Linked DNA regions of Sus scrofa. The protein of the gene in region 1 interacts with the protein of each later gene in a biochemical or structural test. Links are inferred from orthologs where the notes say so. Each region holds a gene or a part of one and is shown in the gene's direction. Other genes may lie near its edges.

Evidence for each region. The genes of interacting proteins can lie anywhere in the genome.
Region 2: of the proteins of CUL2 (region 1) and DCUN1D5, one has a biochemical effect on the other in vitro, tested with the Homo sapiens proteins (2 studies listed by BioGRID, with this or other methods). The link is inferred for Sus scrofa from reciprocal best matches to the Homo sapiens genes CUL2 and DCUN1D5.

The regions. Positions count from the first base shown.
Region 1 is NC_010452.4:57,824,549-57,831,489, reverse strand, and holds the start of CUL2 (cullin-2), read left to right. Parts: upstream 1-2,101; 5' UTR 2,102-2,681; intron 2,682-6,941.
Region 2 is NC_010451.4:33,678,732-33,684,746, reverse strand, and holds the end of DCUN1D5 (DCN1-like protein 5), read left to right. Parts: intron 1-1,012; coding exon 1,013-1,121; intron 1,122-1,208; coding exon 1,209-1,313; intron 1,314-3,291; coding exon 3,292-3,519; 3' UTR 3,520-3,680; downstream 3,681-6,015. UniProt on the Homo sapiens protein: Contributes to the neddylation of all cullins by transferring NEDD8 from N-terminally acetylated NEDD8-conjugating E2s enzyme to different cullin C-terminal domain-RBX complexes which is necessary for the activation of cullin-RING E3 ubiquitin ligases (CRLs).

The DNA.
Region 1 (6,941 bases):
ATTCGTTTCCGCTGTGCCACCCGGGAACTCTCCTTAATGGCCAATGTTGACTTCATGTCAAAACATCAATGGTTCAGCTGTTAAGTGTTTGCATTGTTCAGTTTTATTTTTAAAGCCTATCTAAATGCGACACAGCATTTAAGCACTTTCCAATAGATTATCCACTTCCACAATAAACCCGGCTTACTCTTCTGGCCCAATATTAACTTGTAGAGAATACCAGGTTGGAGAAAATAGTCAGGATCAGGAATACACGTCTATCCTGGTAAAGATTCACTCAGGTTTCCTTATGTATGTGACTAATGTGAAACGCTTCTACTTTTCATGAAATGGCCATAATTCTAAACATTAGTTTCATATTTGAATCATGCAATGATTCGCCTCGGTAGCAAACAAAAGCAGTCTACGGAGTCTGGAATTTGCTGAATTCACCACTTCATTAACCTTCTGAGATAATGCGAAGACAAAAAGACTAAAGAGCTCCTCTGTGTTTACACATTCAAAAAATTTTATTCACTCACTCTTACAAAATATGTACAGAAAACACACGTGTAATTACAGCTTCACACTCACCAAAACGACCCCAGGTGGACCAGCAAGTCACTGGGCAAAGCACGTGCTTACACTGAACTATTTACCGACGCACCAAAACTGTTGTGTCTTTACCAACACTTAACATGACAATGCGTTCAGTGTTTATACTCATCCAGGTTCAAAACCATTTAAATATCTTTTAAAAAGTTGTCTTTGGATCAATCAGCAGCTCTTTAAACATCAGTGTTTACTACTTAGCATTAGTTGGCCAAAACACATTTTTTGCAATTTGCCTTTCTTGGGGGAGAAAAAGTTCCGAAGTTAAAAAATTCAAAGACTGTGACTTATGAAGGGAAAGCAGCGTGTTATCCAAAAGGAGGATCAAGACTAGGAGAAAAATGTGGTGGTACCCCCAGGGAAAGACTACAGAGCACGAGTTATTAAAGTAATCTAACACGACCTTCACATCGGGGACCTCTGGCCCTGCGCATCTCGGTTAGTATTTTTTTCTAGGGAGGGCGGCTGCAGCCGGGCGAATTAGGCAGGAAAGGCAGAGGAGTTCGGAAACCACTGGTGTGAGCCTCCGGATACCGGGTGGGGACCGAGGCTGGTCCCGAGGGTCAGCATCGCTCAACCCAGGGCCGGCAGCGGCTTCCCGGGCCGTGCGGGGAGCGTGAGCGGCTCACACTCGGGACAGCTGGGAAGACGTCGGAGGAGGCGCGGCGCTCACAGCTCCGGCTCCGGGGATCGCGCCAGGCCGGCCGGTCCCGGCGCAAAGGGGGCGCGGGGGACGTGCGCCTTCCAGCAGCACCGCGACCGCATCCCGCTCGCTCGGTCTCCGGCCGCGAGGACCGGGAGGCGGCGACTGGGGCGAGCGAGGGGAGCGGAGGGAGCCGCCTGGCGGGCCCGCCCGCCCTGCGCGGCCTCCCCTCCCTCGGAGCAGGAGCGTTGGCCCCTCCGAAAGCGCCCGCCGGGTGCGCGGGGCAAACGGCGGGGACCGCCCGCGCTACCCGCCCCGCCCCCGCTCAGGCGCCAGCGCCTCCGCCTCAGGCTCCGCGGGCCCCGCCGGCCGGCGCTCCACTTACCCGCTGCGAAGCGATTTACGTAGCGGGCCTCGTCACTGCTTACGGACGCGAGGAGGTGGGACGAAGAGCCCCACCGGGACCGGCGCCGTCCCACGTCGCCCCACGTCAGCGCTGATGCTGCCGCTGCTGCCTCCCCGCCGAGCGCGACCCAACGCGGCCTCGCGTCGCCTGCCCGCCCGGCTCCGCGCCGCGCAGCGCCTGCCCCTTCCCCGGGGACGCCGGGGGAAATCCACGCTCGAACCCCGCCCCCTGCCGGCCACCGGCGGGAGTGCGGCGCAGACAATCCAACAATTGAATAGAACGGGGTGGGGAAGGGGAGGCATGAGAGGCGGGGCCTAGTGGGAGGCGGGGCATGGAGGTGAGCCAGAGCTTAGGGGCGGGGCCGGGAGGAGGAAGTAGGGTGGGTGGGGAGGAGGCCCAAGTTTGGGGCGTGGCCTAAGGCGCGGCCCGGAAGCCGGAAGCTGCTTCGCGGAGCCTGCTCCCGGAAGCCAATCAATTGGAGAGTAATCAAGGTTTTCCAGGCCTCTGTGTGTCGGTCACCTGTCCGGGCGAGCTCAGCCGCCAGCAGAGGCCCGCGAGAGCATCCTGTGGACCTCACCTCGATGTCGCCGGACGCGAGCCCCGGAGGCCCTACCCTCTGCCGCCTCCCCGGCGACCTAGTCTGCGCGGGGACACAGCGCTGTCCCTACCTGCGATGTGACGGAGGAGAGGAAAGCTGAATAGCTGAAGCCCAGGTCTGGAACAGAGGAGTTTCATTTTCGTTCACTTGGAACCCGGGGCTTTACAGTAGGAGAGACGGTCATCTTTTGTACACCCACTCTTAGGAGCAGGTCACACCGGGAACCTTCGTCAAGGACACTGCTTGAAAAGTTGCTGAGAAAAGAAAATAAAAGCATAATCCACGTAGCGCAGGAGGAAAAGGGAAGCTTTGTGAAATATTAGAATTCCAGTGGAGTTCTCCCAGTAGAGGAAAATTCTGAACTGTTCAATGCTAGATTATGGTCATCCCGAACTACTCTCAGCTGTAATGTGTACTAGCAGAGATAAGAGGATAAAAACCTGGTAAGTTCACGTCTTTCTTTCCCCATTGGCAGAATTCTGAAATTCCTCCTTCTAGAGCGATGGGCAATGCCTGTCTCCACTTCCTTATAAAAATTAGCTTCTTAATGAGGGACATTGCCAAATTAATTTTTTTAAGTTAAATTTAGAAGTTAACCAAATCTCTTTTGTGTGTGTTGACACAAAAAGAATGTCTCTAAGTAATCAATGTAGCTCATTTTAGCTCAGAAAAAAAGGAGTTATCGTAAAGAGAAGAAAAAAGTCTAGACTGCTAAAACCGAAAAATCCTAACTTTCCTTTTGGTCAAGGTTGACCATGTGCTGGAGGAACAGATTTTGAACTTCAAGTGATTTGGGGGAAATCGTAATCACTCAAAAACATTGTTCTTCCTTACCTACTTGTTTATTCTGAAATTTCCTTTACCAAAGTATACAGTCTTTATAGTTAGATTCCTTTAGACCAAGGGCTTAAAATGTAAGTATGGCTGCTACATCAACACACACTGTGATATAAATGTCATATCAAATCCTTGAGAGCAGGGGGAAGAGTACCTGCTCTTCTTGACAGAGTGACAGAGTACCTGGGATCTGAAGAGAGAAGGCAGGAAAGGTACATGGAGTTTCCTTTTGCTGCTATGACAAATTCCCGCAAATTTAGCGGCTTAAAACAGATGACTTAAAAGTTCTATGGGGTAATATCAGGAAATCATCGATCTCCTTGTCTTTTCCACCTTCTAGAGGCCATCCGCATTCCTTGGCTCATGGCCCTTTGCCTCCTTCTTTAAAGCCAGCGATAGCTGGTTGAGTCCTTCTTTTGCTGCCATCTCCCTGATTCTTTCTTTTGTTTCCTTCTTCCACTTATAAGAACCCTTGTGAGTTCATTGGGCCCACTTGGACAAGCCAGGATAATCTCCTCATCTCAAAACCAGGGAATTAGCCACCTTAATTCCCCTTTACCATGTGACCTAATATGTTCACAGTTTGCAGGAATTAGGATGTGGATATTTTGGGGGCGTTGGGTTGCGGTGTAATTCTCCCAGCACACAGCACAGGATTCCAATAGAAGCTTGAGCTCCTGAGGCAAATCACCTACCTTTCAGGGTCATCCCTTGCAAACAATTCAAGCATTTGATTAGAAATGCCAGTAACTGATTTTTCAGTTTCTCATATTTATGCTTTAAGATTATTGTAAAATCTGGAGTTCCCATCGTGGTTCAGTGGTTAACAAATCCAACTAGGAACCATGAGGTTACAGGTTCGATCCCTGGCCTTGCTCAGTGGGTTAAGGATCCGGCATTGCCACGAGCTGTGGTTGTAGGTTGCAGACACGGCTTGGATCCTGTGTTGCTGTGTCTCTGGCGTAGGTCGGTGGCTACAGCTCCAATTAGATCCCTAGTCTGGGACCCTCCATATGCCGTGGGAACAGCCCTAGAAAAAGGCAAAAAGACAAAAAAAAAAAGATTATTGTAAAATCTAAAATGAGATATCAGAGTTCCCAATGTGGCACAGTGGGTTAATGATGTGGCTTGTCTCTGGCATTGCCAGTTTGATGCCCGGCCCAGCACAGCTGCTGGAACTGTGGCATTAAGTCACTGGGATTTGATTCCTGGCCCAGGAACTTCCATATGCCGTGGGTGCAGCCGAAAAATTAAAAAATAAAAAAATAAATAGAAGGATTGTTCGTTTGGAGTTCCCGCTGTGGCTTGGTGGTGTGAGCACTGGGATCTAGGTTCCATCCCTGGTCATAACCACTTTGCTTTGAAAACCAGGTAAGGGCAATTCAGGTATAATTTGTCCTTTTTCCTTTATTGCCAAAAGGAGTATTTATACGAGCAAACTCACACTTTTTTTTTTTTAAACTATTTTTCTTTTTCTTTTCATTTATTTATTTATTTACTTTTTTGTCTTTTTGCTATTTCTTTGGGCCGCTCCGGAGGCATATGGAGGTTCCCAGGCTAGGGGTCCAATCGGAGCTGTAGCCAGTGTCCTACACCAGAGCCACAGCAACGCGGGATCCGAGCCGCGTCTGCAACCTACACCACAGCTCACGGCAACGCCAGATCGTTAACCCACTGAGCAAGGGCAGGGACCGAACCCGCAACCTCATGGTTCCTAGTCAGATTCGTTAACCACTGCGCCACGACGGGAACTCCCAAACTCACACATTTTGATTTAGCCTCCAGCCCTCTAACCTTTTAAATCTTTGTTTCAGTAATTGGTCAGGATATATATTTTTCTCATCTTTCATAGCTTCCTACATATAAAATACATTGTTTCATGCCAAAATCTTAATTTTTTATGTGTGAAATGTTTTTATTACAGTGTTTGTTGATTTTTTTCTTTTTTTTTTTTTTTTTTTTTTTTTTTTTGTAAAGAGGCTGCCTCTTTTAGGAGCCGGGTTTATGGCTTTTAATAAAGCTTGTGGGAGTTCTCTAATGGCCTAGGAGGTTGAGGCTCCTATGTTCTCACCGCAGTGGCTCTGGTTGCTGCTGTGCAGTGTAGGTTCAATCCCTGGCCCAGGAATTCCCACATGTTGCCTGTGTGGCAAAAAAGGAAAAAAAAAAAAAAAAAAAAAAAACCTTGTGGCTAGCACTAATTGTACTCCCTTTATTGTATAAAATTATTTAATTTTTTGGAACCTAAATCCCGGCATCATATTTAACCTTTGTTAAGTGTAACACTGTTTCATTTCTAGAACATGAGTGTACCTTTAAGAATCTTGATAATGGGAGTTCCTGTGGTGGCGCAGTGAAACCATGAGGTTGCAGGTTTGATCCCTGGCCTGGCTCAGTGGGTTAAGGATCCAATGTTGCCATGAGCCATGGTGTAGGCCAGTAGCTATAGCTCCGATTCGACCCCCTAGTCTGGGAGTTCCCATCATGGCTCAGCAGTAATGAACCCAACTAGTATCCATGAGGATGTGGGTTCAATCTCTGGCCTCACTCAGTGGGTTAAGGATCCGGCATTGCTGTGAGTGGTGGTGTAGGTCACAGACCAGCTTGGATCTGGCGTTACTGTGGCTGTGGCATAGGCCAGCAGCTATAGCTCCAATTTGACCCCTATCCTGGGAACCTCCATATGCTTCAAGTGCGGCCCTAAAAAGATGACAAAAAACCCTGACAAACCTTGATTCTGTATTGACCTATAAAGTGAATTAATTTGACATTGATCTATTGAGTGCCTAGTATTTACACATCACTATGCTTACCTAAAATTTCTTTAACACAAAATAAGAACTAGAAGAAAATAATGCAAATCATATACCTGATAAGAGATTAATACACAATGTATTTAAAGAACTACAACTCAGAGTTCCTGTGGTGGCGCAGTGGTTAATGAATCTGGCTAGGAACCATGAGGTTGCAGGTTCGATCCCTGGCCTTGCTCAGTGGGTTAAGGATCCAGCGTTGCCGTGAGCTGTATGTAGGTTGCAGATGCGGCTCGGATCTGGTGTTGCTGTGGCTCTGGCGTAGACTGGCGGCTATAGCTCTGATTAGACCCCTATCCCGGGAACCTCCATGTGCTTCAAGTGAGGCCCTAAAAAGACAAAAAAAAAAAAAAACAAAAAAAACAAAAACCTGTAAAACCTTGATTCTGTATTGACCTATAAAGTGAGTTACTTTGACGTTGATCTGTTGAGTGCCTAGTATTTGCACATCACTATGCTTACCTAAAATTTCTTTAACACGAGCTAAGAACTAGAAAATAAAGGCAGAAATCCCTTCTTCCCCACCACATCAAGGTTCTAGGCAACCAGAAAAAAAATGAGTCAAAAAGACTGAGAAGGCAGAGAGTAGGAAAGAAAAGGAAGAAAACCATTCAAGAGGCTAAAATAATGTCTTGTACAATCTCCTGGGCTGTGTGTGCATGCATGTATGTGTGGGGCTATAAATGTGTATTTGTGTTAGTCTCTTCGTAACATTGTTTTTGTACAGCTAATAGACTGTTTAAACTCTTCCAGATGTCAGAGACAAATGATTTACCATAAAGCTTGAATTTTCTTTCCAAGACCTTCTGTGGGGCCCTAACATTTTTTAGGTGTAAGTTCACATTCTTTTTCTTAAAGAAAATACCTCAAATCCTGAATGTGGTGAGGTTTTTTATTATGAAACTTTATATTAAATATAGAGGGGAGGATGCATGGGGGAAGAATATGAGATCAATATTAGTTCACACAGGCTGAATGAAAACATTTTGACCCAAGTAGATTTGGGGTAGGACTACCTAGAAGGCCCATTGACCTCTGGCTTAGATCATTTACAAA
Region 2 (6,015 bases), on another chromosome or scaffold:
TCAGTTTTGAGTGGAATACTGTTGTTTACTGTAGACAAGACACAATTTTATTGAAGGGCGTTGGATTGATCTCAAAGAGGGCTAAATGTGATTTAGGTTTTGAAGAGTAGTATTTTGTCAAAATGTTAGAAGGAATAGCATATCAAGTAGGTAAAATAATGTGTGCTAAAGCGTAACTATGGCATTTAGGAATGGTAAGTGAAATAAATATAAATCACAGTTATATTTTAAGGATATTGGGACCTGGCAAGAGATGAGACTGGAGATGTGTGCCAATTTTGAAAGGTTTTGTTTGCCTTGCTTCTTGCTAAATAGTGTACTATATCAACCCAGAGAAAGTCAGAAAAACAGTAAATATTTTTGAGCATTCCATCTCTTTAGCTTCTTAAATTTAATGTCTTTAGAAATAACATATATAACTTGTTTGCCTTCTTTTGTATATGTACCTCATGTGAAGTTAGATTCTGTCACTGATTTATTGTGGGTTTTTTGGTTTACTAAAAATGTAGGTATTTGAATTTATGACTGAATCACTAATGAAATTTATTTTCCTCTGGGTTATATGCTAAAATTTTAAAACCAATCATGGCTAATCTCTTTTGCCAAGCTGGTGCCCAAGAACTTTCCAGTGACATTTGTGTCAGACAGCTGATTAACTTTGTTCTGCCATCTTACTTTATTTGTGTTGAAAGCATATTTTAATAAACTGAAATTTTTCATCAAATATTTGTGACTTTATTGGAGTTTTTTGATTGAGTTGTATTTTTTTTTTTTAAAAGAAAGGTTATCGGAGTGAACTTTGACTCTTTTTTCCCCTTTTCCTTTTTTTATTGCATTGGTAGATCAAGTCAACAAGTTTGTTATTCTAAATTTGTGAATCAGAGAATTTTAAACTTCAATTAATTTCATAGATGTGCTCACTTTTTTCTTTAATTGCATTATTTCTAACCCCCAAAGATGCTTTTATTTAATTTTCTTAATTATATAATGTTTGATTTTTTTTTAATTTAAGATGTGACTGCACAGAAAAGTTACAGAACAAATTTGACTTTCTGCGCTCACAGTTGAATGACATTTCTTCATTTAAGAATATCTACAGATATGCCTTTGATTTTGCAAGGGTAGGTGGAGTTTCAGTGTTTGCAGCTTTAATGTATTTTTTTAGACTTGAGACCACATTTAGAAAATTTTTTTAACTTATATTTTAGGACAAAGATCAGAGAAGCCTTGATATTGATACTGCTAAGTCTATGTTAGCTCTTCTGCTTGGGAGGACATGGCCACTGTTTTCAGTATTTTACCAGTACCTGGAGGTATGTATTTTTACTTTGAAAATAATATTTTAAACCTTAATCTGATTGGAAATATACCTTTAACTGAAGAAAAAAAAAAGTAGTTTTTGTTTTGGTCGTGGTTTTATTGTTTTATTGTTGTTGTTGGTTTTTTTTTTTTTTTTTTTCCTCATCACCCATGACTTGTGGAAGTTCCCAGGCTAGGGGGTCTAAGCAACCTGCGCTACTGTACTGACAATGCCAGATCCTTAACCCACTGCACCACAAGGGAAGGGAACAAGTAGATTTTTTAGTATTGTGCTTTTTAAAAAAATCTGCTTAAATTGTTGAAAATTTGTTAAAATGGGTACATATTTGCTGTAATTTTTATTTTATTTTATTTTTGCTTTTTAGGGCCACACCCACTGCATATGAAAGTTCCCAGGCTGAGTCGAATCAGAGCTACAGCTGCTAGCCTACTCCAAAGCCACAACAGTGGGAGATCCAAGCCATGTCTGTGACCTACGCCATAGCTCACAGCAATGCCAGATCCTTAACCCACTGAGTGAGGCCAGGGATTGAACCTGCATCCTCGTGGATATTAGTCAGGTTCGTAACCCGCTGAGCCTCTTGAGAACTCCTCTGCTGTCATTTTTAGATGTGAGTTCATGTTCATTAATATATTCTGTACATAAATTATTTTTATTCCATGCCTTGTACCTCCAACCCACCCACTCCCCCCCCCAAAAAAATGATGAAAATTTCAAGAAATATTTTAGCATAGATGTTCTTTATGTAAAATTAGCTGCTTTGGTTTTTGCGGAAGAGAATTGATGCCAGTGCACAAATCTCAAGCTTCTCAATCACTTTCTGTTACACAGGGTTTTAGGCTAAATCAACATAAGAAAACTGATAATAATATTAAAACTTGGGCTCAAGCTAAAGAATTAGAATAAAGCTTTTAATATTTTATGTCCACAAATATGAGACTGTACTTAAATATAGTGATTACTGAGAAATGTATGCTGAATTTATCAAGAAAATATTCTTTTAGAGGGTTTATCACAGCACCTAAGATCCTGAAGTGCTATGATAGAAGTGCTTTTGAAGAAGATACTGTCCTTTTTTCCATTGCTTTCTTTGGTTTTCTGCTTCCGTGACTTTTCAATTTTAAATTTTTTGGTACTTCTCATCATTTCTTGAATATGGATGCTTTTGCTTCTAAAGTAATTTCTCATAAAGCTGATTATTATAGCAGGTTCCCCAGAGTAGTTTTATTTAAAGCTTGTGATAAGAGACAGTGGTATGAAAAGGTTTTATGTGAATGGGTTTTGTGTACACTTTATGTCTTTAAGCCTAATAAAGTAGACTCTTTGTTGTATTTTTTTGTCAATTTTCCTCATATTAGAAGTTGGGGCAGAAATAAATACGACTGAATTTTAAATATTCTCCTCTAAAAGGAGCTGAGAGAACTAAGTGTTTTCAGGCAGTGTTATGTGAAGAGTGTTTGACCAGCAGCATTTGAATTGTGTTTTATTCCCTCTTAGCCAGTGAGGAAGTATGTTCTGTTGTTACATAACTTTCCAAGGGCTAAGTAGCAGAACTAGGATTTGAACCCTTTTCATTGCCTCCAAAGATGCCACCTTCCAAATGAGGCTTAACACTAATTTTTGTGCGAAGAAATGATTTAATGAGAAGCAGAAGGAGGGAACTTACTGGATATAAGAAATGTTATATATTTTTTATCTCATTGGTGATTATACAAGCATATGCATTGATAAAAATTTATTAAGTTTTACCCTTGCTATTAGTGCCCTTGATGCTCTTTTTATTTCTCAGGAATGAAAGAAAAATAAAGGGAAAAATAACTTTGATAATGTTAACATCTGAATGCTCCTGAGGATTTTCTTAGTAACACAAATAAATAAAAGAGGAATAAATGGGGAGAGATAAATCACCAAAAAGGTGTTATAATTACATTTATTGAAGTCAAGTCCTAATAAATGTTTGTTCTGTACAGCAATCAAAGTATCGTGTTATGAACAAAGATCAGTGGTACAATGTATTAGAATTCAGCAGAACTGTCCACGCCGATCTTAGTAACTATGATGAAGATGGTGCTTGTAAGTATAATGTAATGTTTTACCATGAAAATAAAATTCTTAAAACTATTGAGAACATACATCTATGTTGCATTACCATAAAGAATTTAAACTTCCTCAAAGTTCCTGTTGTGGCTCAGTGGTAACAAACCTGACTAGTATCCATGAGGTCACTGGTTTGATCCCTGGTTCCGCTAAGTGGGTTGGGGATCTAGCATTGCTGTGGCTGTGGTGTAGGCCGGCAGCTACAGCTCCAGTTCACCCCCAATCTGAGAACTTCCATGTGCTGTGGGTGTGGCCCTAAAAAGACAAAAAAAAAAAAAAAAAAAGAATTTAAACTTCTTAACAGAAGTTCTTATTTAATTATGTGGGAAGTGGGGGGGAGGCAGATAGAGAAGATAAGAGAGCAACATTATCAGATCTGTGCTGGTATATGAAATGTTTTTGATTCCTTGGTAGCAGAGCATTATAGCTAAATTTAGACTAATTTCTATAGCTAGAAGCTAAAATTTTGCTTTTTTCCTGCCTTTCCTGGCATTTTTCTATATAAGAAAAGGCAGTCATGATTTTAAAAATAGGAAAGCAAAGCATCAGCTACAATAGCAAAAGCTTTAAAGTTAATATCTTAATACCCGTTCCCCATTGGCAAATAATATCAAAGTAACTTCCCTCAGAAATTATTGAGTAAATATGTAGTGAAATATTTACAATTTTTTAATCCTGCAAATTAAAATATCCATACCCTTCAGCAGGAAATTCAGAATGCCATAAAATAGATCTTTGAAGTAATGATAGATTAAAAATGCTCTAGAACTATGAATTTCCCACCATTAGTTTGGTTGAATGCATTGTTTTAGTGTTGTGAAGGGTTACATAAAAAAGATACATTCCTATAAATGGAAACTGAAATTATGGGCATATTTTTGTGACACTGAAGAAACAAAATACTGAGTAAGGGACAACATTATTTCTCCCTATGTATATTGTCTCCACCCTACAAAATAGTATAAAATTTAATATTTTTAGAAATAATACCTTGGAGTAGTAAACTGTCAGTCAGTAAACATATGGTCTGCAGATGTGTTTCATGTTTTGTGTCAACATTATAACAGATTTTGTGTAAAAATATAGCTTCTGGATTTGTTTGAAAAATTAGAATTTATTGAATTAGGCTGGAACCAAGTAGTGGCTTATGTTGGACTTGTTTTCCAATGTGCTGGTCCATAGTATGCCAATATCTGGGTTGCTTTTCAGTTGTCATTTATTACTATGCTACTCTGCTATTTTTTGTACAGTAGAGAAATACGTCTATCAAAAGCAAGAGAAAAAGTAAGGCCACCAGAAGGTTCTGTGTTTTGAGAAAAGGGCAAGCATATTCTTTGTGGTAATGAGTTTTCCTACATTTACAAAAAAATAAACTCTGAGTTCATTTAACTTGCCTATCTGGGAGTTCCCACAGTGGCTCAGTAGGTTAAGAACCTGATGTTGTCTCTGTGAGGATGTGGGTTTGATTCTTGGCCTCGCTCACTCACTTGAGTTAAGATCCTGTATTGCTGTGGCTGTGCCATAGGTCTCATCTACAGCTCCAATCCAACCCCTAGTCTGGGAACTTCCATATGCCACAGATATGACTATAAAAAGGATAAATAAAATAATTGCCTGTCTGACTTCTATAAGTAAATGAATTTGAATTTGAAACCCCTGTAATATAAAAATATCTTTTTACAGTAGTTTTTAGGTCAGGTATTTATTAGGTACTTGCTTTGTGTTCAGATAGGTCCTGTTAGGTCCAGATAGGTTACTGGAACAATATATAGGCTCTAATAGGGCCACTCCTTTAACAAACATACACACTTCCTGATGAGGTAACAGAAATACTGCATTAAACACTTTTCAAATTGTTTGATTATTAAATGGCAGAAAGCTCTGGGCAGTCGGAAAAGGGGTTAACTAGGTAATATTGACCTGCTCATTGGAGAATTTATGAACCACTTCAGTCTTGAGAAGAGGTTTCTACAAATACCTATTGTGGAAAGTCCCTTATGTTGGAAAAGACTAAGAAGGCACCCATTAGGTAGAAGAGGGAGGCTGGAAGCAAAACACCGGAAGAAGAGAAGGGTCAGCCCCAATCATCATCATAGGGTGTGTGGGGAGTTGTTTTACAGTTGGAGAGGAGAGTTCACTGAATTCTGGCAAAATTGTTTCTTTTATTTCTAGGGCCTGTTCTTCTTGATGAATTTGTTGAGTGGCAGAAAGTTCGTCAAACGTCATAGCAAGAACTGTTGTGAAGAAAATGCAAACCTTTTGATCCCCACGCATGTACAAGCTAATGAAATTGTGAAGAAAATGCAAACCTTTTGATCTCCACGTGTGAACAAGCTAATGAGATGAGGAAAAAAAAATCTAAAGGGTGCATTTTTATTCATATGAAAGACTTCTCATAGTACTTTTTTTTTCCTTTTTTTTAAAGGAAGTTTTCTTGTTACATGTGATGGGTATTGAGCCACACCTCTTCTGAGACTGAATATTGAAGTTTTTGTTTTGAGTTATGTTTATAACATTTATTTCAGAACAATAAAGATTCAGATTTGTGACAAAGGCCTTAAAGTAAAGATGTCCCTTGAGTGTCAGAGTGGTATTTA